Elephas maximus indicus: one gene and its partners. The protein of the gene in region 1 interacts with the protein of each later gene in a pairwise test. Links are inferred from orthologs where the notes say so. Each region holds a gene or a part of one and is shown in the gene's direction. Other genes may lie near its edges.

Evidence for each region. The genes of interacting proteins can lie anywhere in the genome.
Region 2: the proteins of PITX1 (region 1) and SPAG8 interact in binary tests that used the Homo sapiens proteins (3 or more experiments, as listed by UniProt). The link is inferred for Elephas maximus indicus from reciprocal best matches to the Homo sapiens genes PITX1 and SPAG8.
Region 3: the proteins of PITX1 (region 1) and ZBTB32 interact in a two-hybrid assay, tested with the Homo sapiens proteins (2 studies listed by BioGRID). The link is inferred for Elephas maximus indicus from reciprocal best matches to the Homo sapiens genes PITX1 and ZBTB32.

What each region holds. Positions count from the first base shown.
Region 1 is NC_064820.1:147,512,469-147,519,294, reverse strand, and holds the start of PITX1 (pituitary homeobox 1), read left to right. Parts: upstream 1-3,812; 5' UTR 3,813-4,000; intron 4,001-4,066; exon of another isoform or gene 4,067-4,277; intron 4,278-4,480; 5' UTR 4,481-4,604; intron 4,605-4,612; exon of another isoform or gene 4,613-4,972; 5' UTR 4,973-5,110; intron 5,111-6,826. UniProt on the Homo sapiens protein: Sequence-specific transcription factor that binds gene promoters and activates their transcription. May play a role in the development of anterior structures, and in particular, the brain and facies and in specifying the identity or structure of hindlimb.
Region 2 is NC_064827.1:44,604,810-44,612,754, reverse strand, and holds SPAG8 (sperm-associated antigen 8), read left to right. Parts: upstream 1-4,932; 5' UTR 4,933-5,362; coding exon 5,363-5,400; intron 5,401-5,502; coding exon 5,503-6,283; intron 6,284-6,401; coding exon 6,402-6,576; intron 6,577-6,787; coding exon 6,788-6,833; intron 6,834-6,916; coding exon 6,917-7,031; intron 7,032-7,153; coding exon 7,154-7,216; intron 7,217-7,320; coding exon 7,321-7,500; downstream 7,501-7,945. Other genes in the region: adenosine 5'-monophosphoramidase HINT2, read left to right, coding at 2,395-2,475, 3,703-3,843, 3,976-4,080, 4,183-4,255, 4,359-4,450. UniProt on the Homo sapiens protein: Microtubule inner protein (MIP) part of the dynein-decorated doublet microtubules (DMTs) in cilia axoneme, which is required for motile cilia beating.
Region 3 is NC_064829.1:114,682,516-114,689,901, forward strand, and holds ZBTB32 (zinc finger and BTB domain-containing protein 32), read left to right. Parts: upstream 1-4,744; coding exon 4,745-5,646; intron 5,647-5,896; coding exon 5,897-5,970; intron 5,971-6,285; coding exon 6,286-6,450; intron 6,451-6,595; coding exon 6,596-6,873; downstream 6,874-7,386. UniProt on the Homo sapiens protein: DNA-binding protein that binds to the to a 5'-TGTACAGTGT-3' core sequence. May function as a transcriptional transactivator and transcriptional repressor. Probably exerts its repressor effect by preventing GATA3 from binding to DNA.

The sequences.
Region 1 (6,826 bases):
GACAAACAGATGGATGTAGTGGCTGAGTGAATGATGTTACAATAGCCTGCTCCCACCTCACCCCCTGGAATCCATCCTACACTCTCCAGGCTGAGTGATCTTTCTGAAATATTAATCTAACCAACCGTCTCCCTTCTTAAACCCTTCATCTACGTCTCTTCGTCTTCAGAATAATACCCCACTATACTACAATACTACAAAGCTTCATGAAGCCCCACAGTATCCGGCTCCTATTTAATTCTCCAACCTCCTCTTCCCCCATTCTCTGCCTTCTCACCTGCCCTCAATGCTATTCTGTAGCCACACTGCCCTTCTTTCAAATTCTCAGGTATACCACAATTCTCTCACCTCTGGGCCTTTGTTCGTACTGTTTTCCCAGGGAGTGGAGAGGGGCGGGGTGGAAATACTGTTCCAAACAAACTCTGTAGTATGTCATTCAAGACCCTTCAACAGCGGGCTGCAGATTTCGTCTCCAGCATTTGTGCTCCAAATATGGTTATGGGTTTGTACGTCTGCCTCCTCAGCTCAACCCACATGAGCAGAAGCCATCCATCTCTGCATCTCTGTGATCATGGGCATGAAGTGTGTGCTTTCTAAACCTTTGCTGACCTGAGAGAGGCCAGTCCAAGAGGGTCCCAGACCAGAGTTCTTCCCACTGTTCCTTACAGATGCTGACAGGTCTGCAATGAAAAAAAAAAAAAAGTACTTGAGATGCTCAAAAGGTTTCTCTTTTTGCTTTGGCTCCCAGGAGCCTCAGAGTGCACTATAATCAATGTTCAAGTACATCAACATCTTGCCTGATCCTAGGAGGTCTTCTCCACTTTCAGATTCTCCAACTCCCTCCTTCTCAAGGATGAGCAAGGGACCACAAATGGATACCCTCCCTTGCTTTGTGGGTCCATCTCTATATGGAATCAGCAGACTCTGAGCCTCCCCTCAGGCTTTCTGGTGGCACTCTCACCTCTTTGCCACAGATGAGTGCCAGAACAGTCCTGTTGGACTTCAGACTCTCCCAAGAGAACCAGTGCCTCCCCATCACATTAGGGTGGACTCTTACCCACTCCACCACCAGGCCCTTGAGAACCTTCACAGGGCAGGGGCTTCTTTGAAGACTAACACCTTCCCTGCCACAATTCTAACTCTGAGAGCTTGCTAAGGGACAGCAGCTAAGATTCTTGGGGGAATGTAGTGAGTATTCCTTTTGGTAGGGAGTAATCCTTCTAGGGTGGAGCCTGTGACCCTGGCCTGGCCAACCACACCCCTAAACCACTCTTCTCCACAAAGAGATTGGTTTAGGAGTGGGCATGTGAGCTGTACCCAGCCAATCAGCATAATCGAATCCCTTGACCATGCTAGCAAGGGTCCTGTAGTGAACAAGAGAGGCTCAGCTCTGCTCTCAAGGAGCTTACAAATGGTAAGGGCAACAGATTTTAACCAATCATTACACAAATAATTATTTCAATACTATTGCAATAAGACCCATGAAGGAAAAGGTCACTGTCATGGATGGAATTGTGTCCTCCAAAAATATCTGTCAACTTGGCTAGGTCATGATTCCCAGTATTGTATGATTGTCTACCATTTTGTCATCTGACATGATTTTCCTACGTGTTGTAAATCTTATCACTATAATGTAATGAGATGGATTAGTGGCAGTTACATTGATGAGATCTACAAGATTAGATGATGTCTTAAGCCAATCTCTTTTGAGATATAAAAGAGAGAAGCAAGCAGAGAGACATGGGGACCTCGTACCACCAGGAAAGCAGAGCCAGGAGCAGAGCATATCCTTTGGACCCAGGGTCCCTGCACTGAGAAGCTCCTCGACCAGGGAAAGACTGATGACAAGGACCTTCCTCCAGAGCCGACAGAGAGACAAGGCCTTCCCCTGGAGCTGACACCCTGAATTTGGAGTTGTAGCCTGCTCAATTGTGAGAGAATAAATTTCTCTTTGTTAAAGCCATCCACTTGTGGTATTTCTGTTATGGCAGCATTAGATAACTAAGACAGACACTCTCCCTACTTTTACTGGATATTAAGAAACACTGCAAAACTGTGACTGAAGCCATTTGCCCATTATGCTATTCAGATGTGACAAATCCAACTTGGAGTTTTGTACTATGGAGAAAAACTTCTTCTGACTAAAGGAAGCATGCCATTTTGGAAGAAGAGACAAAACAACTGTGTCAACCAATCTTGTTGCACTTTTCACTTAGGTACTAGGAAGCTCAAAGCTAAAGTGACACTTAGATACAGGGACTGTGTTACTTCTGTTCCTAGTGGACCCTGCCCCGCTCTTCCTCTCTTTGATTTCCAATCCATCTGCCTTGACAGTGGAAATATATGTGCCTCAAGATGTCAAAAGCTAAAGGGAAATTGTGGAAAATTCTTTTTGGAAGAGGGGAAAATGAAATCATACAAAGCCTGTTTTGACCTTCCAAGAACTTCCAGGTTGTCAGGCTCTGGCCCCACCCAGTCTGCCCAGCCTGGAGGGAATAAGGAGCAGCTCTGCTAAATCAGAGAGGTGTTCTGCTCCTGCCTGACTCAACCAATGTGACCATGCTGGGGAAAACCCAACAAACCCACTGCCATCGAGACCCTATAGGACAGAGTGGAACTGCCCCCATAGGGTTTCCAAGGCTATAAATCTTTATGGAAGCAGACAGCCACATCTTTCTCCCATGGGTTCATACTGCTGACCTTTCCGTTAGCAGCCAAAGGCTTTAACCACTGGCTACCAGGGCTCGTCACTGGTGAAAGAGGGAAACAAAAATTAGAGCAAACTTTTAAAGAACAAAGTGACCTGACGGGTGTTACCTTTAGCATTCAACTCCACAAAACATAGTGCTAAGCCCTTCACTTGCTTTGTCTCATCGATTCCTCAACTGCCTTGTAAAGTCGATACTCTTACTCTCCTGTTTCACAGACAGATAAGTTGAGGCTGGAAGAGGTTATGTGACTTGCCCAAAGCCAAACAGCTAGTATAAGGCACAGACAAGACTCCAGCACAGGCCATTAGCAGTGTCTTGGTGCCACAGGCCCTAGCTGAGAACAAGAACATAGCAGAGAATGATGACACCACCACCCCGTCACCCACTGGGAACAAAACCCCTGAAAATCGCTGGTGTACAGGGGTGGAAGGGTGAGACACCTAAATGAAACCACCCCAGCCAGGTGCCTGTCTCTCGGCCTTCACAATAAGGGTCCTGCGGTTGCATTTATGCCCAAAGGTGTCTGGGCGCTTGGGGTGGGGGGTAAGGCTGCCAGGGACAAGGCCCACAGGGCCAGGCCTGCCAACAGGCCATTTTCACACATAAAACGCACAACTAGCGGTGGGGAGAGAGGCGTGGGATTGCAATCCCGGGCAGCGCAAGGTCCAAGCCACAAGATTGCGTTTCCCCAAGTAGGCCTCTAGGTCCAGGTCTGAAAGCGCCGGCGTCCAAGGCGCGTCTTTTAGCCCTTATGACCCCGTGCGCACTGATCCCCACACACCCCTGGAGAAGGGTTCCGGCTTTTAAGGATTGAGAGGAGGTCGCGGAGTCCCGGAAAAGCAGGACAGGGTGCAAGGGCCACCCCGCAGGGCCTGAATGCCCTGGCCTCTGGGAGCTTGCGTCGGGCTGGCTTCCGGCCTTGAGGGTAGGGCGGGGGTCTCGGCTCTGCGCTTTCCGAGGCTAGGCGGCCCTGGAGGCGCGGCGGAGCAGGGCGCCAGGTCGGGCGTCGGGGCTGCAGCCTCACCAGCACCAGCTGTCAGCGAGAACCAGGGAGGGAGGCGCCGCCGATGATGGCATCTCGTGCAACATTGACGCCGGCCGCCGCGCTGCCATCTCCCGGCACCTAGCGCCGAAGCGGCCATCCCAGAGCCCTGGGGTGTCGGCGGGCAGGCTCGGCCGCTCTTGTCCCGCAGTCTGGGCCTGGATAAACAGTCACAGCCGAACTCGTCCCATCCCACCATTCCAGAAGCCGGAGGCTCAGACTGAGAGCTTGGGGAAAGCCGGAGCAGGTTCTGCCAATGGGTCTCCCCCTTGAGGTTTCACTTGCGGGGTTATCTGGCCACTAGGCAACGCTGGGGAATCCGGAGGCCTACGGGTGAGAGAGGGGCAGGCCCCCAGGTCCCCTCAGTCCTTCCAGTCTCCCAATGGCTGCCAGCCAGGAACCGACCTGAGGGACCACATGGGCAGAGGCCTCCCACGTGCGCCGTCCGGGAGAAAGGCGGCCGCTGGAGGGTGTGCAAGGGAAGGGACCAGACAAGGAGTCGCAGAGGCGTCTGTCCTCGTGAGGTTGGCCTCCCCTTTATTCCCCAGACGAGTCTCTGAAGAGGGAGAAGGGGAAATTCCCCAAGCAGGGCCGGTCGGGCGATTGCCCCTCCCGAGCACCCCCTTACATAGAGAAACCTTGGGGTCTGACCTCAAACCTCCGTGGCTGCCAAAATCTGCACAGCTGATTCTCTCTGCCAACATGCAAACCCGGCTCCCTCCCGCAGGCTGAGCAGGAAAAGGAAAGGATTGACTCTCATAACCCCAGCTTGACCATCACCTGGCAGGCCCCCGGGAAACTCCGATCAGACCCGGACTAAACGGAAGCCGGCCCGTCCCCTAACGTGCCAGGTGGGTAACTGAGCCCAGCAAGAGTAAAGTGTCTGGGCTAGGGTGGGACCCCAGCAGCTTCAACCGCAGACGGCTGGAGCCCCTCCCACGCACCAGCCGTCCCGGGGCGCGCTTCCCGGCCTAGGGCCTCTGCGGAGAGCCGTGAGACCCCAGCCTGCTTCCCGAGGGAGGACAGGGCCCCTAGCCCGCTGGACTGCGCGCCGCCCCCTCCCCGCTTGCCTAGGCTAGCGCCTTGCTTCCCCTCCCCCCCTTCCCGCCTCCCCGGCCGGTGTCCCCGCCTTCCCCGCGGGCGACGGGCGGCGGCAGCCGCCGCGGCAGGAGGAGCGGGCCGAGCCGAGGCAGCCCGGACCTTACGCGCTGGGATGTAGCGACCCGGCGGGGGCCGAAGCAGCGCGCAGAGTCGGAGACTGAATTGGATCCGGGGCCCCAGCCGGAGCCGAAATCTAAATCTGAGTCGGCGGCAGGCGAGCCCGGAGCCGACGAGCCGCAGACGCAGCGCAGCCCAGGTAGGGTTAGAAACGCTGGGCTAGGGGACGCCGACGCTCCGCGGTGGAGGAGCGCAGGGAAGTGGCGGCCGAGTCCCGCGCTGTTTGCTCCGTGCGGTCCAGCCGGTGGGGCAGGACCGAGCGCAATGCGCGGAAGGCCAGGCGCCATCGGGGCAGAGCGAGGAGTTCATTCCTGAGTGGTGCGCACGGTCACAGCTGCCATCTCCGGGCGCTACCTCACCTAACTGGTGGGCCCACCCCGCGCTTCGGCCCCAGGCACCCCAAGAAGGCAGCAGCCTTGGGGGCGCAGGCCAAGGACACCCTGGACGCCCCGCGCAACTTCTAGCGGTGGCCAGGGCGCAAGGGGTCCCCAGGGAGAAAGGGACAGGCGAGAGGGCTGTCCGCTGTTCCCCGATATGCCCTGGGTTGAGGGCCCCCAGCACAGGCGGATGCGCAGGCCCCTCTCCATGGCCCGGGACTTCGGCCGTAGCTTCGCGTCAAGAGGGTATTTGTCCTAAACGAAACCGCTTCGCTCGTTTGTTCGTTCGAGCAGCAATATGGCAGAAAAGCAGCAGACATCGGCCGGAGCCCCGGAGCCTCGGGTCCCTTCGATCGCCAACCCCGACGTCCGCCGCAGCGCTGGGAGGCACCCCCAGCCCAGGGCGGCCTGCCCCGCGCGCAGAGCTGCCCTCTCCCATACGGGTTGGGCCTCACCTTCCCCTTACAGAAACCCTAAATGCTTTTAGTAAAGTCCAATAAAGACATTCCCACGGCTTCTCCCGGTTCTGGTTGCTGACGGAGGATTCCCCAGCACACAGCTTCTTCTCTAGAGCCGGGTCTAGGGATTCTGAAACTGAACAGCCACGAAAGTTGGAGCCGATTCTACTGTGGCAAAGCAAGGGCTCTGAAGCCAGGTAGCAAAAATGGGAACCCCGGTCTGGAATCATGGTTCAAAGGTTTTCTGATTTGGGAATTCCCTGAATCTAAAAATATTAAATCCACTTCTCTGAAAAACTAAGGCCCCGGTATGCTGGATTTGTGGTTGCCTCCGACAGCCACCAAGGCCAGAGCAGGAAACCCCAGGTTGCTGTCCACTTGGCCGAGGATGCAGGTCTAGGGTAATGAAGAAGTCTAGGGTAATGACAAAGGCTGTGGGCACCAGGGCAGCATAGGAGAGGGACTTGCTGTCCTCCTGCCCTTCCCCAAGACATTTTGGGACTCTCCACCTCTGCCAAAGAAAGGAAAAGTGGTGAGCTGGGGCACCGATCTGTGGCTGCTTCAACTCTAGGTGGTAGAGGCTCTATTTGTTGACCTCCGAGCCAGACTCAGAGCGCCCTTCTCCCAGAAAAGCAGCTGCTGGAAAAAGGAGGCTGTGGTGCAGCAAAACCTGACCCTCTACTCCCCAGTTATGTGGCCAGCCATGGCCACTTTCCTAGCCCTCTCTTTCGCTCAGCCACCCAACGTTTTTTGCTGGGCTCAGGAGAGCCAGGGGCCCTACCAGCCGCTGCCCTGACCGAGCAGGCTGAGCAGTCCACAGCACAGAGACCAGTTCCTCACTCCCGCTGGCGTGCCACTAGCACCGTCCAGCCGAGTGCATCCCACAGCTCCCCAACAGGACACGCTGGGGATCCCGGAATGGTAGGAATCCTTGGGCTGGGGTCCTGGGAGGCCTAAAAGACCCAGCGAGATCGTTCCCAGCCCCTGCCTGAGCACCCTCACCCAATAATTGCTTGCGTT
Region 2 (7,945 bases), on another chromosome or scaffold:
TGCAGAGCACTGAAGCTTTCAGATGAGAGCAGCTACAGGTGATGAGAAGCGCTTCACATAGAGAAGACTATGACTCAGGGGCCAAGATCAGTGAATGTAGGAGAGTGACTAGGAAGTCCATAGATAACTTTTACGAGGAGTATGAGATTCTGACACAAAATCAGAATCAGACTGGTATAAAGTCCAATGGGCTTTGTGACCCTAGGCAAGTCACTTTCCCTCTCTGATCCTCAGTTTTCAGATCTGTAAATCAGGAATAATCTGTTTGCTACCTGCTCTCTATGAGAACCCAAAGAAATAACCAATTACCTTAATCTTAATTTCAAGTGCTTTGTACTCATCTACCCCTCTTGGCTGGTTTCCTACCTCGTCCTACATCTCAGCTACCTTTCTCCACGCGAGCTCCAGGGGGTCCTGCTATCCCAGAGACACCACAAAAAGTTTTGGTCTCTGAAACACAGAGAAAAGGCCAGTCTACATTTACTTATATTTAGGGAGGCCCTCTATCCTTCCGAAGGAATGACTACAGCCTGACTTCTAGGATCCCTGGGGGAAGTCACAGGGTCAAATGTCTGCCCTTCAGGGAGAAAGGACTTTCTAACAATAATACAGCTATACGAAAAGAGATTGTACTATCTCCAGAAGCAAAGAGCTAATCACTGGTTATATGCAGTTAACAACAACAAAAAAAAGCCCATTGTCATCGAGTCGATTCTGACTCATAGTGACCCTGTAGGACAGAGTAGACCTGCCCCATTGGGCTTCCAAGGAGCAGCTGGTGGATTCAAACTGCCAGCCTTTTGGTTAGCAGCCAAGCTCTCAACCACTATACCACCAGGGCTCCTATATGCAGTTAAAAAAAAAAGGGGGGGGCTCCTATATGCAGTTAGCACTATGATAATTCACCTAAACATAACCCAACTAATAATCAACAGTAATGGTTACTGTGATAAACTCACTCAAGGAAATATTATGTAGCCATTATAAAGTATATTTACATAGACTAATCAATAATAGGAAATTTTGGTGGCGTAGTGGTTGAGTGGCTGCTAACCAAAAAGGTCGGCAGTTCGAATCCACCAGGCGCTCCTTGGAAAGTCTGTGGGGCATAGAGAATAAACATAATATGTAATACATATGCATTGTATATTATGAAAGGAAAAACATCAAATGTTAATTATTCAACAAATAATGATTGTGCACCTACATGGGTCAGGCCACTAAAGATACAGTGGTATCCTGTCCTATGTGCTTAAGCTCAGAGTTCAACTTCTGTGGTGTCTGAGTATATTAGCATTTTGTGACCCCATGTTTGTTATGTCAAAAATATATATTCCACCACAGGGAAATATGCTTCTGACCTATGTCCATGATGTATTTCACTGAAAATACCAGGCACTGAGCTAACTTCTGATTAGGAAAGAACATTAGATACATTCTTTTGCTTATTTAGTAGTGAGGCAAAAATAGAACACCCCCCTCCCAATTAAAAAAAAAAAAAAAACAGCCCTACAACTGCAGAATCCTTAATCTTTGGAGTGAATGCGTTAACGAGAACATGAAATTAAGGCAGAATTGCCCTCAGATCAACCGGTAAGTTAAAATCGTAGAAAGCTCATGAGGCTGAAACTGCCCTTGTGTGCAAATGGTGGCTATCTGACAAGTACAACTTTTAGACGTCGACCCCACCCGTAGGATGGAAAAAAAAGAACTCTGACTCAGTTCACCTTCAGCCCAGCCAGTCCCCTGTCCTCCACTCGCTCTCCTCCTTCCGGGACTCCTAGGGCCTTGGCTCCAGGGGTTAGCGGGAATTCCCTGGAGCCAATAAACGCTAAGTTACCTCCGAACCCCTCCCTCCTCTTGACCAATGCGGTGGAAGAATCTAAAATATTTTAGCGCTTTGTGCGGCAGATGACCGAACCCGCCCCCGTCCCCAGAGTCCACCAGTAGGGGCTAGACCTGGGGAGCCTCAATCTAAGCAGAACCCGTGTTCTGTATCAGATCCAATTGGGAGGAAACCCCACCTCTGGGTCTCTTAATCATTCCAATGGCGTGAAACTATTTAGGGGATCCAATGGAAAAAGAACTTTCACCCTGACTAGTGGAAAAATCACTCTCGGCTTGGCAAAAGCCGCCAATGGGATGAAAAGCTCCCGCCTCTGACGTAGCTGAGGAGTCAATGGAGTTAATAGTGCCACCCTCTCGGCGGCACTTAGCGCCTAGGAGCACAACCCAATGGGATGGCAGGGCTGTTCCTGGGCGCTGGCGGAGCCAATGGCCGCTCCTCACCCGCTCCCCCGGTAGCCCCGACGCAGCCTGTGGCGTCCAGCCCCACCTCGAACCGGCCTAGAGTACTGGCCTAGGCGAAAACTTCCCGCGGTAGCTGAGGGGAAGATGGCGGCGGCCTTTGTGCTGGCCGCCGGGCTGCGCGTAGCGCGCAGGGCGGTGGCGGCCGCGGGGTCGCAGGGGGCGCAGGTGAGAAGTGGCCGCAGGAGCGGGGAGGGTGTCCCGTGGGCTCTGGCGCCCTCCAGGGTCGTGATCCCAAAGGCATGCACAGCTCTGCGGCCTCGCGGGGCCGGAGCCCGAGCGCACGGCTGTGGCGTCTGCCTCTACCGAGGCGCAGGCTCTGCGGTTGTGCGATAAGGTCGGACTGAAGGTCGCGGCACCCTCTCCGCGAGAGACGCGAACTGGAGGTGACCGATGCCCTGCACAGACCCGAGATCAGGACAGGGTCACTGCAGCGGCTGGTATCACCTCCGGCTTGGAGCCCAGCTGACCCGATGCCTGCTCTGGGCAGCCTACTTGATGCCCCCTGCAGGAAATGAGCTTCCCCTTTTCGGAGCCAGCCTTCTGTCTTCAGGACCCGGGCCTTCTAATGAGCACTAGTGTTAACCCTTCATCTTCCCCAGCGACTTGCCAGAGCGACTCGAGGGTCAGAGAAGTCTAATTCATCCTGTACCCTGCCCCCTTCCCCAAAGTGACTCATGAATTCAGTCTCTTCTGAGCGATGGACACCTGGGACTTCCTTCCCCCGATTCCCTGGGGCTGAGGGAGCTGAGTTCACTTAGGTGACATTTTCCCTCCACTGACTCCAGGGGCTGACAGGAGTTGCAATCCACAGTAAGAGGTCAGACATAACACCCAGATGACGGATCAACTCGTGACAAACAGGGCAGTTGCATTAAAATCTGAATAAAATAGGTGACAAGGCTTAAAGATCAGAAAGCAAATAATGGAAATAAGTGAAAACTTATTAACAAGGTAAGAGTAAATGGAAAGAGCTCTGAGTGGATTTAAGAGATGATGCAAACCATTCTTTTGTTGTTTGTTTGAAGAGAAGGTATTTATCTGAGGTAATTCAGTGGTAAAATAGGAACTGGGACCTGAGCCTCTGGATTTCTCATTATGGATCCTTTTCCCCTGACAGTGCTAGGTCCCCTAGACAGGTTAGGAGCAGGAATCAGTTGCACTGCTGAATCCTTCACTGAAATATTTCCTGTTACGTAGCTAGGCCCAGCACCATCTGGCCCCACCTCTGTTGCTGATACTCTGAAATTCAGCACCTTTTCCCTTGGGTGGGAGTCACTAATAGGTTCTTAGAAGGGTGAAGTTAATGACTATCAGAGCTCAGCTTCTGTGGCCCTTAGTACATGGGAGAGGTATTGCCAAATCCTTCTCTGAGTATGTCTCACCAACCTTCAGGTCCGAGGATGCGCAGGTGTGACTGATGGAAACGAAGTGGCCAAGGCTCAGCGGGCAGCTCCTGGGGGAGCAGCCCCAACCATCTTCTCCCGGATCCTGGACCGAAGCCTCCCAGCTGACATTCTATATGAAGACCATCAGGTGGGATGCCCTTAGGACACATCCCCCCAGGAATTTCATAGGTAACCCCTCAAAGATACAGTCCTGCCTAATGAAGTAACATGGTGGCGTCTGGCCTGTCACTGCCTGATAAGTCCTTCCTCCAACCTCCAGTGCCTTGTGTTCCGTGATGTGGCCCCTCAGGCTCCTGTGCACTTCCTGGTCATTCCTAAGAAGCCCATTCCTCGGATCAGCCAGGCTGAAGAGGAGGATCAGCAGGTGGGAAGAACGGGGCCACGGTTTGGCTGGGGAGGCCCTGGACCAGCTGGAGATTTTGTTCCTTGTGAATGAAGCCACCTGGCTCCCTCCCTCTCCCTGTAGCTTCTAGGACACCTCCTCCTTGTGGCCAAGAAGATAGCAAAGGCTGAGGGCCTGGCAGATGGATACCGGCTTGGTGCGTAACTTTTGGCCCTTGAGCCCCTAACCTATGAATTCTCATACCTACCCTTTAATATGATCTTCAGTTTTTGACATCCTAACCCCAAGCTCCCTTTCAGTGATCAACGATGGGAAGCTGGGCGCACAATCTGTTTATCACCTGCACATTCATGTACTTGGGGGCCGACAGCTCCTGTGGCCTCCAGGATGAACCAACCAATCAACTGACCAAGGACCCCGGGCCTGGATGCTTGGATGGGGAAGGGGAAAAAGGACCCTGTGATGCCAATAAACCTCTCCTACAACTTTGGATCCGTGTCTTAAATATATAAAGATTTATACCATAAAGGGGGGGGTAACATCCACAGGTATGATCCCTCTTAACTATAGTCTGAGTGAGTGAGAAACACTGAGGAGCCCCACCTTGTGATTAAAGGAGTGGTTGCCTGTAGATTTGAGTCTTCATGACTAGTGAAGCACTCCGGGTCAGACTTACAGAAAAGTAGCAGGAATGAGGCTTGCTCAAATCCCGGCCCTTATTCAGAGGCCAAGCCAGATTCTAAGGTAGGGGGGCAGGGGTGGGGGGGAGAGAAGATGGTCAGTGTGAAAGGCCTGTACCTTTTATTGGAGGAGAAGCAGCCACAAAAAAAAAAACCTGCTACTCTTTGACTCTTCCTACGTCTCGCTGTTTTACTTTCAAATTGTCATCTCGTGTATTTTCATCCATAATTTTTTTTTTTAAAGACTCCCTCAACTTTTGAGAATGAACTAAGGGAAAGCTATTGTTGCCTCTCCACAAACACACCAGGTAGGCTTTTGCCTTTGAGCCACAGCTCTCTGCTTGTCTCCAGCATCTTCCCATAAAGACCCAGCCTTAGCTGCCAAGGCTCATGCTTGGGCATGGAGAACAAGGCCTTGGGTCAGCGGAACCTTAAAATGGGCCTGAGGCGGAATGGAGTCGGAAGGAGAAAGCAGCCGTCCCAAACCACGTCAGGTTTAAGACTTCCGCCCCGCAGAGGACTTGTCTCCGCCCCCACCATCCACATCCGCCCCGCTCCGGTTCTGCGCAGTCTCTAGGATTTATTTGCCATCTCCATGGCAACGCGATAGCTGGTGCCTGAAGATGGAGAGAAACGAGTGTACAGAGGGATCGGAGTCGCGGTGAGAATTGCAGCTGTGGCTGCAGGCATAAGCGGCCAAGGAAGGTCTGCTGACTTCCTCAGCTGTGCTTTTGACAACTTTGACGGCTTTGCTCTCTTTCAGGTCTTTAGACGTACAGCCCAGCTCCGAAGGACTAGGGTCCACTTCAGAACCGCTTCCTTCTTCAGATGGCGTTACTAGGTCTGCCCTGGCAGCCGCAACCGCAGCAGCTGCTTCGGCTGCCTCAGCTGCTGCAGCCACTGCAGCCGCCTCTATTGCCAAAGCAGCTGCATTATCTACAAAGATCCCAGGGCCCTACTCTGAGGCTTTTCTCACCGATCCCTCCTCTGACCTCAGTTTTCTTGGGGATTCCTATGCTGGATCCAGTTTTACTCACAAAATAGGCCATGGAAGTCTTGGCTTTGAGCCCACCTATGTTTCCCGTGTTGCTCAGGACCGCTGTACTACAACTGATAGCTCTCCCTCTTGCCATCCTCGTGGCTCTAGCTCTGGTCCTGTTCCTGACACTAGCTCCAGTCCTGGCTGGGACTCTGGCCCTGACCGTGGCTCTGGTCAAGGCTCTGGCCCTGGCCATGGCTCTGGTCAAGGCTCTGGTCCTGGTCCTGCCTCTGACACTGGGCCTGGTCCAGGCTCTGGCCTTGGTCCAAGCACTGGCCCTAGCCCTGAGCTCAGAAACCTTAGAGCAGATCCAGACCCTACTTACACCTCCTGGAGGCAGCAGTGCTACCTGGAGCCTCAGAAACAGCCATCCTGGGGATTTTTGCAAGTCCCAGAACCTGGTGCCCGAGGGCTATGGAAGCCCTCAAAGGTCCAAGGGAAATCTAAGGGGCTTTCTGAAACATTGCCACGGGGCCAGTGTCTCCTCTACAACTGGGAGGAGGAGGTATTAAGGTTTTGGCCTGCCCCCTTTTCTTAAGGGCTGCCCTGTTTCCTGGGGGAGAAAGTAGATCTTGAGGGTGTACCAGAAGGGACATCATGGTCATTCAACTCGGGGTCCACAGAGGGCTACCAACCACCTGGATCAAGTCCCAAGCATGCAGGATGGTTATGAGAGTTTCTTCTTCCGACACGGACACCGAGGACTGCTGACCCTGCAGCTGCAGTCACCCATGCCCTCCAGCACCACCCAGAAAGACTCGTACCAACCCCCAGCAAACGTCTGTCAGTCACTTCGAGGTGTGAAGCATGAGAGACAGGCCAAAATTAGTCCATTAATCAGAAAAACAGGAGAGGAAGGAATTTTCAGTGGGACTGTGGATGGTCCAATGAGTATAGGAAAAAAAAAAAAAAACCATAAGATTTTCATTCCTTTATCATAAATGTGTTTTTTCTGGGCCTGTTTCTTAACCATATTTCCGCATTCTGTCCACCCCCTGCCCTCCCACAGGGAAGCGGGAAGCCATGGTGGAGATGCTCCTGCATCACCAGATCTGGTAGGAGTCTGGGGGAAGATGGAAGGGAAGGGGAGGACAAAAACTGGGAGAAAGTGGCCTTGACTTCCCTCAGGGCTGTATAGTAAAGAGGTACAGGCAGAGCAGGAACCCACAAGGAAGCTGTTTGAAGCTGAGTCTGTGACACACCATGACTACCAAATGGAGCTGGTGCAAGCAGGGCCTCCCGCCCCCACCAAGGTGAGAACTCATCCCATCCCACATGCACAGCTGGACTCTGACAGGCTATGGGAACGCAGCAGGCCCAGAGGCTGAGAGAAGGGACTGTAGGCTAAGAGTTATTCAGTGTCTCTCCCTCACAGCCCCACGACTACCGTAAGGAGCAGCCTGAAACGTTCTGGCTACAGAGGGCACCACAGCTACTGGTGAGTGACAGTGACTAGGTGTTGGGGAAGGGAGAGTAAAAGGAGGGGCTGTTCTATTCTGACTTGGGGGCAGGGGATCTTTTCTCATTCTGGCATTCCTCCAGGGTGTCAGTAATATCAAGACATTGGACACACCATTCCGGAGAAACTGCAGCTTCACAACACCAGTGCCGTTGTCCCTGGGGCAGCCTTTGCCCTATGAACCTGAGAATTACCCCCACCAGTTGGGAGAAATGTCTTCCCTTGCCTGCCAGGGGGGAGGGCAGTGTGGTAGAGAAGGGTGAACTACTGCCTACAGGTTGGGAAGAGGTGTATGTGTGGAATGTTGAATCTTTTTCTGTCTGTAATGGAGAGGTGGGGAGGAAGTGAATTCTATCTATATTTGATGAGGACAGATTACATAAAAGATTCTCCTTCATTCTGAGACTGCTAATTCAGTGATTCTGTGAGTTACTGTGTTCATACCCCATAATCTCCTTTTCTTGGGGTTGTTCCTACCCCAGACTATGATGCCATGCCTTTTTTTGTTTTATATTTGACCAAAATATTCTGGTTTAGATACAGATATTTACAAAAGGTAGTGAGGGGTGCCAGGCTAGAGAGGAGCAGGTATATGTACATGGCCGAGCTGTGAAGGGCAATAACCTCCACACTAAGGTAGGGTTTTTGTGCACGGTGGTCTCCATCCTGCAACAATGTCCATTTTTGATGTGTAGAGAGATGGTAGCC
Region 3 (7,386 bases), on another chromosome or scaffold:
CTGCTAACCAAGAGGTGGGCAGTTCGAATCCACCAGGTGCTCTTTGGAAATTCTATGGTGCAGTCCTACTCTGTCCTATAGGGTCGCTATGAGTTGGAATTGACTCAAGGGCAGTGGGTTTATATTAGATACTCTATACTATATAAAATGCTGGGAAGAGTTTAACCACCTTAATTTGCCTAAAAAGATTTTTTTTGGGGGGGGGGCAGTGGCAAGCTATCAATTTTTCTCAATTGAATCTAGATTAGCTTAGCTTAGGGGCTCAATATTTAAAATAAGTGAGATAAACAGAGGACACTTTTTGTAAAATAATCATCCCTCTAATTGACCTCATGGTTTGATTTCAGTTACAGTGTTGTGAAGAGAATCCATACTTGTGTTGTTATGTTGACATTTTTACATCATGCTGCATTGTGCCTGAAGGGTGTCTTGGTTTCCTAGTGCTACTGTAACAGAAATACCATAAAGGGGTGGCTTCAAACAACAGAAATTTATTTTCTCACAGTTCTGGAGGCTAAAAGTCCAAATTAGGGTCTCTCCTGTGTCGATTCCTTCCTTCGTGGTAGCCCTGGACATTCCTTGGTTCCTTGGCTTGTAGACAGACCTCACATGGCATCTGTCTTCCCTGGTGTGTGTTCCTGTCCAATCAGCTTTTCATAACTCAGGAGTGATTAGGTTTAGGGCACACACTTAAACTGGTATGGCTTCACTAACGTAACAGAGAAAACCCTATTTTCAAACAGGATTAAATTCAAAGGTATAGAGGTTAGGATTCCAACGCATATTTTTGGGTGGGTGGGAGGAGGACACAATTCAACCCATAACAGACTTATGACGCAAGGATCTCTAGAAAGCTCTATTTTTGTAGCTGAGGTGTGCACTGAACCCCTGATGATTTCCCCCTGACTGTCCCCTTGGTCAAGCCTACCAGTAAAAATGAAAAATATCAGATTTTAAACTTAGTAGTATGAGTATGAATCTAGGCGACAATGGGCTCAAGCATAACAACGATTGTGAACATGGCGCAGGACTGGGCAGTATTTCGTCCTGTGGTACATAGGGTCGCTGTGAGTCGGAATCGACTCAACAGTACCTAACAACAACATGAGTATTAGGAAGGACCGAGAGGCAGAAATCAGACCTCCTTTTCCCACATAATCTTCTTCCTACCTAATCCTTCCTACCCCCTCCCTCTCCCAGGGTGCAGGCTTGTGTCTTTATAACCTGTGGTTTCCTGGCTCCATCCCAGGAGGACGTCTACAGGTGATTCCCTACTGAGTCTGTCTGGGAATTGGGAGGTGGGGAGGTGTCTGAGGCTGGAGAGGAAAGACTTTCAAGAGCAGCAAACCATCAGCAGTGTTCCTGTCCTTCCAAGTCAAGGTGGCATTTGCTTCTGCTGTCACTGCTCGGTGCAGGATGCTTTGGGTTGCTCTGTGGGAATGTGGTGAGAGGGCGGAGAAAGGCCTAGAGCGTCACTTGCATAAGGGTTGAGGTGCAGAGGGCCTTGGGGATACCTCTGAGGAGGCTGTCTCTAAGGAGATACCCTTAGGTGGGTTAGACACCAAGTGGGAGGCAAGATGGGGTTTCCCATTCTTGGGGGCTTTTGTTCACTGAAGGGGAAGTCCCCTTGCCCCTTCTCCTCCCTTTTAGACTTCCCTAAAGCCCCCTGACACTCCGTGTCATCTACATTTGGCTGACAGAGGATGGTGCCCTTTGAGCAGAATCTCCAAGTCTCTCGATCATCATTGGGCAGACCACACTGGTGATGGGAGCTGAGTCATGGGCTGGTGACGTATGGCTGGGTGATGAGGGAACCATACTCCACTGGGACCACCTTCCTTACCTCTGCTTTGTTACCCCTCCTAGGCTCGGGGCTTCTCCCTGATGGCCTTCTCCACTTAGTCTGTATCTTTGAGGACTGTGAGTTTCTATTTGGGAGGGAGGCTACATGTCAGGGACTGATGCTTTATGTGTCCAGACTAAGTGTCTTTTATGTGGGTATCTGATGTGCCCCTGGGTGTGGTGGTGTGAGGAGTCAGAAAGCTCAGAAGTGGAAAATATTTAATGTTCAGAGGGGTAGCAGGTGAATTAGCTTGCCCATTTGCATTTTCCTTTTCACTCTGACTCATCTTCCCCTCTCCCCACCCCATTGCCCCTCCGGCAGCCCCACCCATTGGCACACCCTGTCTTATCTAGGAAGGGTTAACACCTGCTCACACCCAAACTAGAATGAGAGGTACAGAGAAGACATGTTAGGCATAGAGGGAGACAGTGAAGTTTGGTCTGAACATTTTGGTGTCTTGGAGCCAAAGGGAGAAAGAGGCGCTTAGAGACCTAGAATTTGAGTCTAGGAGGGACGCATAAAGCATCACTCCCTGACATGTAGCTGGAGGGTAAACCAGGGGGGCACCAGGCTATCTTTTTTGTTACCAGAACAGCTCCCAGTGCCTGATATCTTATTTATCTTCCAGTTACTTATTGGGCATATATGATATGCCAGACACGTATCGTAACTGTTGTATCATATCAGCATTTATTGAATGAATGTAGAATGTGGTACAGGAGCAGGGATAATAGAATAATAAGAAACAGAAAAAGAAACTTGAGTCTCTCAGACCTCCTCCCTTCCCCAGATTAAACAGTGCTAGAACTAAGAGGGGAAATCTCCAGGGGCTTTGACCTTCTGGGCAGGAAGTGAAAGAAACCTAAGTCCTGATTTCAGAGAAATGTCATTTGTCATCAACCCAAGAAAAGGAGTTTCTCTCTTTGAAGACCACCGCAGGCCCTTCCTGGGGTTGCCCCCTCCAGAGTTTGATGGGAGGATCCGAGTTACTCACATTCAATACCCCACTGCGACCCAGATGTCAGGGGTCATTCCTACAGAGCAAGCAAGGCTTCCCAGCTCCAACAGTCAGGGAGAAGGAGGAATGCCTGTGGCCCTCCCTCCTGCTCTCTTTGGAATCCAGTTGTTTCCATCCTTTTTACTTCTGAGGTAGGAGTAGAAACAGCTTTCAGCTACCGCAGCTCTATTGTCACCTCTAAGAACCAGAACTAATACTATTTGGATGATGCTATGCACTTACAAACCACTTTCGCATTCATCATGTCATATCATCTTCACCCCCACCGCCAAGTGGCATAAGCAGAAATTATCCCCATTTCATGGATGAGGTAACTGAGGCTCAGGGAGGTAACTTGTCCAAGATGACTCAGCTAGTAAATGGCAGAGATGAGACTGAAATGCGAGTCTGACTGCTCCAAAGTCCTTGTCGCCTCAGGTACACTTCTTGGACTCTAGTTCACTAATGAGGTCAGGAGACAGGAGGTAAGGAGGCAGAACGTCTGGAAGTAGAGGCCGGCCTCTCCTGGAGGGGTGAAGCAGAGCTAGAGGTATAAAACCACACCCCCCGGGGGACTGTAGCAGACTGAAACTTGGGACATCCAATGGAGGACGGTGAGGTCAGGGGTGGGGCTAGCTTCAGGGGAGGGGGTGGGGGGCAGGAGCCCGACCAGCAGTTCAGAGCATGCGGTGTCCAGTGAGGATGCTACAACTGGTGAGTGCTTGCGTCTCTCCAGCTGAGGCTTTTCTCCCCACACTCCACCCTTTCTGTTCACTCCCTGCCAACGTGCTGCCCTCTCCCGGAGGTGTCCAAGTAGTAACCTTCCCTCCCACAAGGGTCCTTGCTCATGGTGAGCCTGCCCCCAGGAATATGGCTGTTGGGTGTGGAGACACTTTGGTTCTGTTTCTCTGTGTGTCTGGGCTCCGAGTTCTCTTCTTGAAAGCCAGTGTGGTAGTTTTCACTTGTGAGAAACTCCTGCCTTGCTGGGTTCTGTCTTTCTATTCGCTTTTTGGCTTATGAAAACAGAATTAAACCATCTTCCTATCCTAATCTTGAGAGCAAAGAGTCTTCCCCTATACAGTTCCCATTTCCCTTTCTCTCACTTCCTCAGGGGTCAAAGCCTTCTCCAAAGCCTCTCTCCATCCTTGGATCAGCTTTCTCTCCTGTGGCTTCTGAGCCTGCTTTCTCAACTCACTGGATGGGAGTTTTTGTTCTTATCCAGTTCCTGCTCTGAGGATGCATTCTAGAAGCTTCAGCCTAAGGGGGATGATTGATTGATGGATGGCTTATAGCCTGCTCTCCTGCAGCCATGACCCTTATCTTGGCTTCTCAGAAGCCTCAGCAACCACTTGCTGGGCCCGTGGAGGGCGGACACACCAGCTTTCCAAGCTCTGCCTGTGAAGCTCAGTCCTGCTCCTCCCTAAATGCCTGGGCTGACTGGCTGGGTTTTGTGGTGATCCCTTTGTCTGGAATGAGGAAAGCCTGGCCTGCTTAGAAGTCTTTCCTTGCAGAGGGACCTGAAGCAGCAGAAATATCAATGTCTGCTATCCATTAAGCCAGATTGTCAATTGGCAGACCCCACATACACTCGAGCCTTAAATCAGCTACTTGGTATTTTTGTTGACTGCCTGATCCTTGCTCTTTAAGTCTAAATTTGGCCTAATTTCCATTTCTTCACTCCCCACCCCTGTTACGATTCTGGATAAGTTCAGCTTTTCTCTAGGGCTGGTTTATTTGCTCCATTTGAGGACAAAGAGCTCTGATCCAGGACCAGCAACTCATTCTTTCTCCCCTCACCTCCACAGGCTTGAGAATATGCCGTTCCTCCCTCCCTTTTCCACCATGGAGCCCATACTGTGGCCTTCCTCTCAGAACCACTGAGATCGGTACCCAGACAAGGCACAATGTCCCTACCCCCCATGAGACTGCCCAGCCCCTACGCCTCTGATCGGCTGGTACGGCTGGCAGCCAGGCTCCGGCCGGCACTATGTGATACCCTGATCACTGTGGGAAGCCAAGAGTTTCCAGCCCACAGCCTGGTGCTAGCAGGTGTGAGCCAGCAGCTGGGTCACAGGGGCTGGTGGGCTTTGGCAGAAGGCATCAGCCCTTCCACTTTTGCCCAGCTTCTGCAGTTTGTTTACGGGGAGAGTGTGGAGCTGCACCCTGGGGAGCTGGGAGCCCTTGAGGAGGCGGCCAGAGCCCTGGGGGTCCAGGCCCTGGAAGAAGCATGCAGAAGGGCTCGAAGGGACAGGACTAATGAGGAGCAGGAACCAGGGCCGAAGAAACATCAGGAGGAGCCAGAAAAACCCCTAAGGGATTCTGAGAGGGAACTGGGGGGCCCTGGAGAGAAGCAGAGGCCAGAGTTTTTCAGAGCTGGTGGGAGAGAACAGGAACCACGGCACAAGCACTGGCCACCAGGAGAGAGCCATGAGGTGACAGGGGCAAAGCGAGAGGGTCATGGGAAACAAATGAGATCAAAGGAGAAACTCAGCCAATCCTCTGTTGGCCACGGGGAAGAAGATGGGAAGCCAGGAGCTGTCGTGTGGTTGAGGGAGAGTCCAGGGAGCTCTGAGGAAAGTCTGTGGGAGTCCCCTAGCCCCCTTCCCCAACCAGGTTCCCTCCAAGCCAGCATCGTCCCCAGGCCCTGGTGGGCTGAGGCCCCCTGGTTGGGGGAGGGCCAGCCTGCCCTGCAGAGCATCCTGCTGTTGCCGCCCAGATATGGCACTCCCTTCTCCCCCAGCACCCCCATCACCCCCATCACCCCCATCACTGGATCCCGGCAGGAGGTCTGGCCTCAGGACCAGAGGTGAGTGAAGGGCTTAGTGGAGGTCTCAGGAGCCGGGAGGGAGTGGCTTAGGAGAGGCAGAGGTGATGGGTGGAAGGGCACCACACCTCTTATATCTTCTATACATTTCCTGAGCAGGGGATGAGACAGGAAGCTCAGAGCTCCGCCCCTGAGAAAGTCCTAGGACACCTCTCTCCCCAGGAAGAGACCAGGGATGGCGAGGCTCTCGGGTTTTGCCAGGGCTGTAACTCTTCCCCCACACCCCTCCTAGGATCCCACTGCCCCTGAACCTCCAGAAAGGGCTCTGGAGCCAGAACCTATTGGCCTCCTCCAGCCCCACTCCAGGTAAGCCCCTCACTGCACTGCACACATGCTATAACGTGGTTTCTCCTCGGGCAGGGCAGAGGCTCTAAGAGTCCAGTCTCAGCAGGGCCCCCACCTCACTCTGCTCCTTCCAGATTCCCTCCCCCAGGACCCCCCCCCCCCACACACACGGCTAAGCCCTGGGGAGATGGAAGCATCTGATCAGGACCACACTGGTGAACAGGGTGGGGATGCTTTGGCTTAAGCTCCGCTGTAGCCCCTGATGTTTTACCTGGGTGTTCCTGTGACCCAGCCTGGGTGCCCTGCCTCACCCTCCTTTGACTCCTGTCCCCGCAGGCTCGACTGCAACCTCTGTGGGTCATAATGGCAAAGCGGGCCGCATATCTCACCAACATCCTCCCCCGCCCCCTCCTGCTCGCGTTCGGCCCTATTCTTGCTCTGTCTGTGGAAAGAGGTTTTCACTCAAGCATCAGATGGAGACACACTACCGAGTCCACACAGGTAGGGGCATCCAGCCCTGCATGAGTTGCCTGCTTCCTTCCCAACTTCAGTTTGCTGGCTCCCTCATCCGCTTCTGCATGGCGTAGCTTGACCAGCCTTCATCCGTCTTCCCTTCTCCACTGGGCTCCCCCTCTGTCCGTCCTAGGTGAGAAACCATTCTCCTGTAGCCTCTGCCCTCAGCGCTCCCGGGACTTCTCTGCCATGACCAAGCATCTTCGGACCCATGGGGCTGCGCCCTACCGCTGCCCTCTGTGTCTGGCCGGCTGCCCCAGCCTGGCCTCCATGCAGGCTCACATGCGCGGCCACTCGCCCAGCCAGCTCCCACCAGGATGGACCATTCGCTCCACCTTCCTCTATTCCTCCTCTTCCAGGCCATCCCGGGCCTCGCCCTCTCCCTGCAGTCCCCCTTCCTCCACTACCTGATGGGGTGTCTGCAGCTCTTGGGCCTCAGTCTAGAATCTAATGAAAGAACGATAGGTGGGCCAGCAGACCAGCCTGGCTCCTGACTGGGCACCGCGGCGGCGGTCTAGCGAATTTGGCTGCAGAAGCGCTGCAGGAAGGGCGCCTAGAGCCCTCTCCTGGACGACCGCGGGCCGCAGGAGCCTGGGCCAGAAAGCCGGAGTTGGGTGAGGGCCGGAAAGTCTGCACGAGTAAAGGCCAACTCTGCTGGGTCCACAATAAAGACTTTCCTGTGCCCTCCTCTCAGGACAAGAAAACCGAGTCCAGACTCAAGTGTGTGCGCGCCGGGTGGGGTGGCGGGCGACTTTGCCCCCTGTCCTGTAGCGGCCCCTGGTGGCCGTGCGTCCGCTGTCCAACGCGACGGCCACCTTCTCCATCTCCCGGGGCGTCCCAGTCCCGTTCTCTCCCGGAGGCAGTGGGCTGCGAGGGCTCAGCGTCCAGGCAGACTTCGCAGCAGGCCCTGGGCGGCTGTGACAG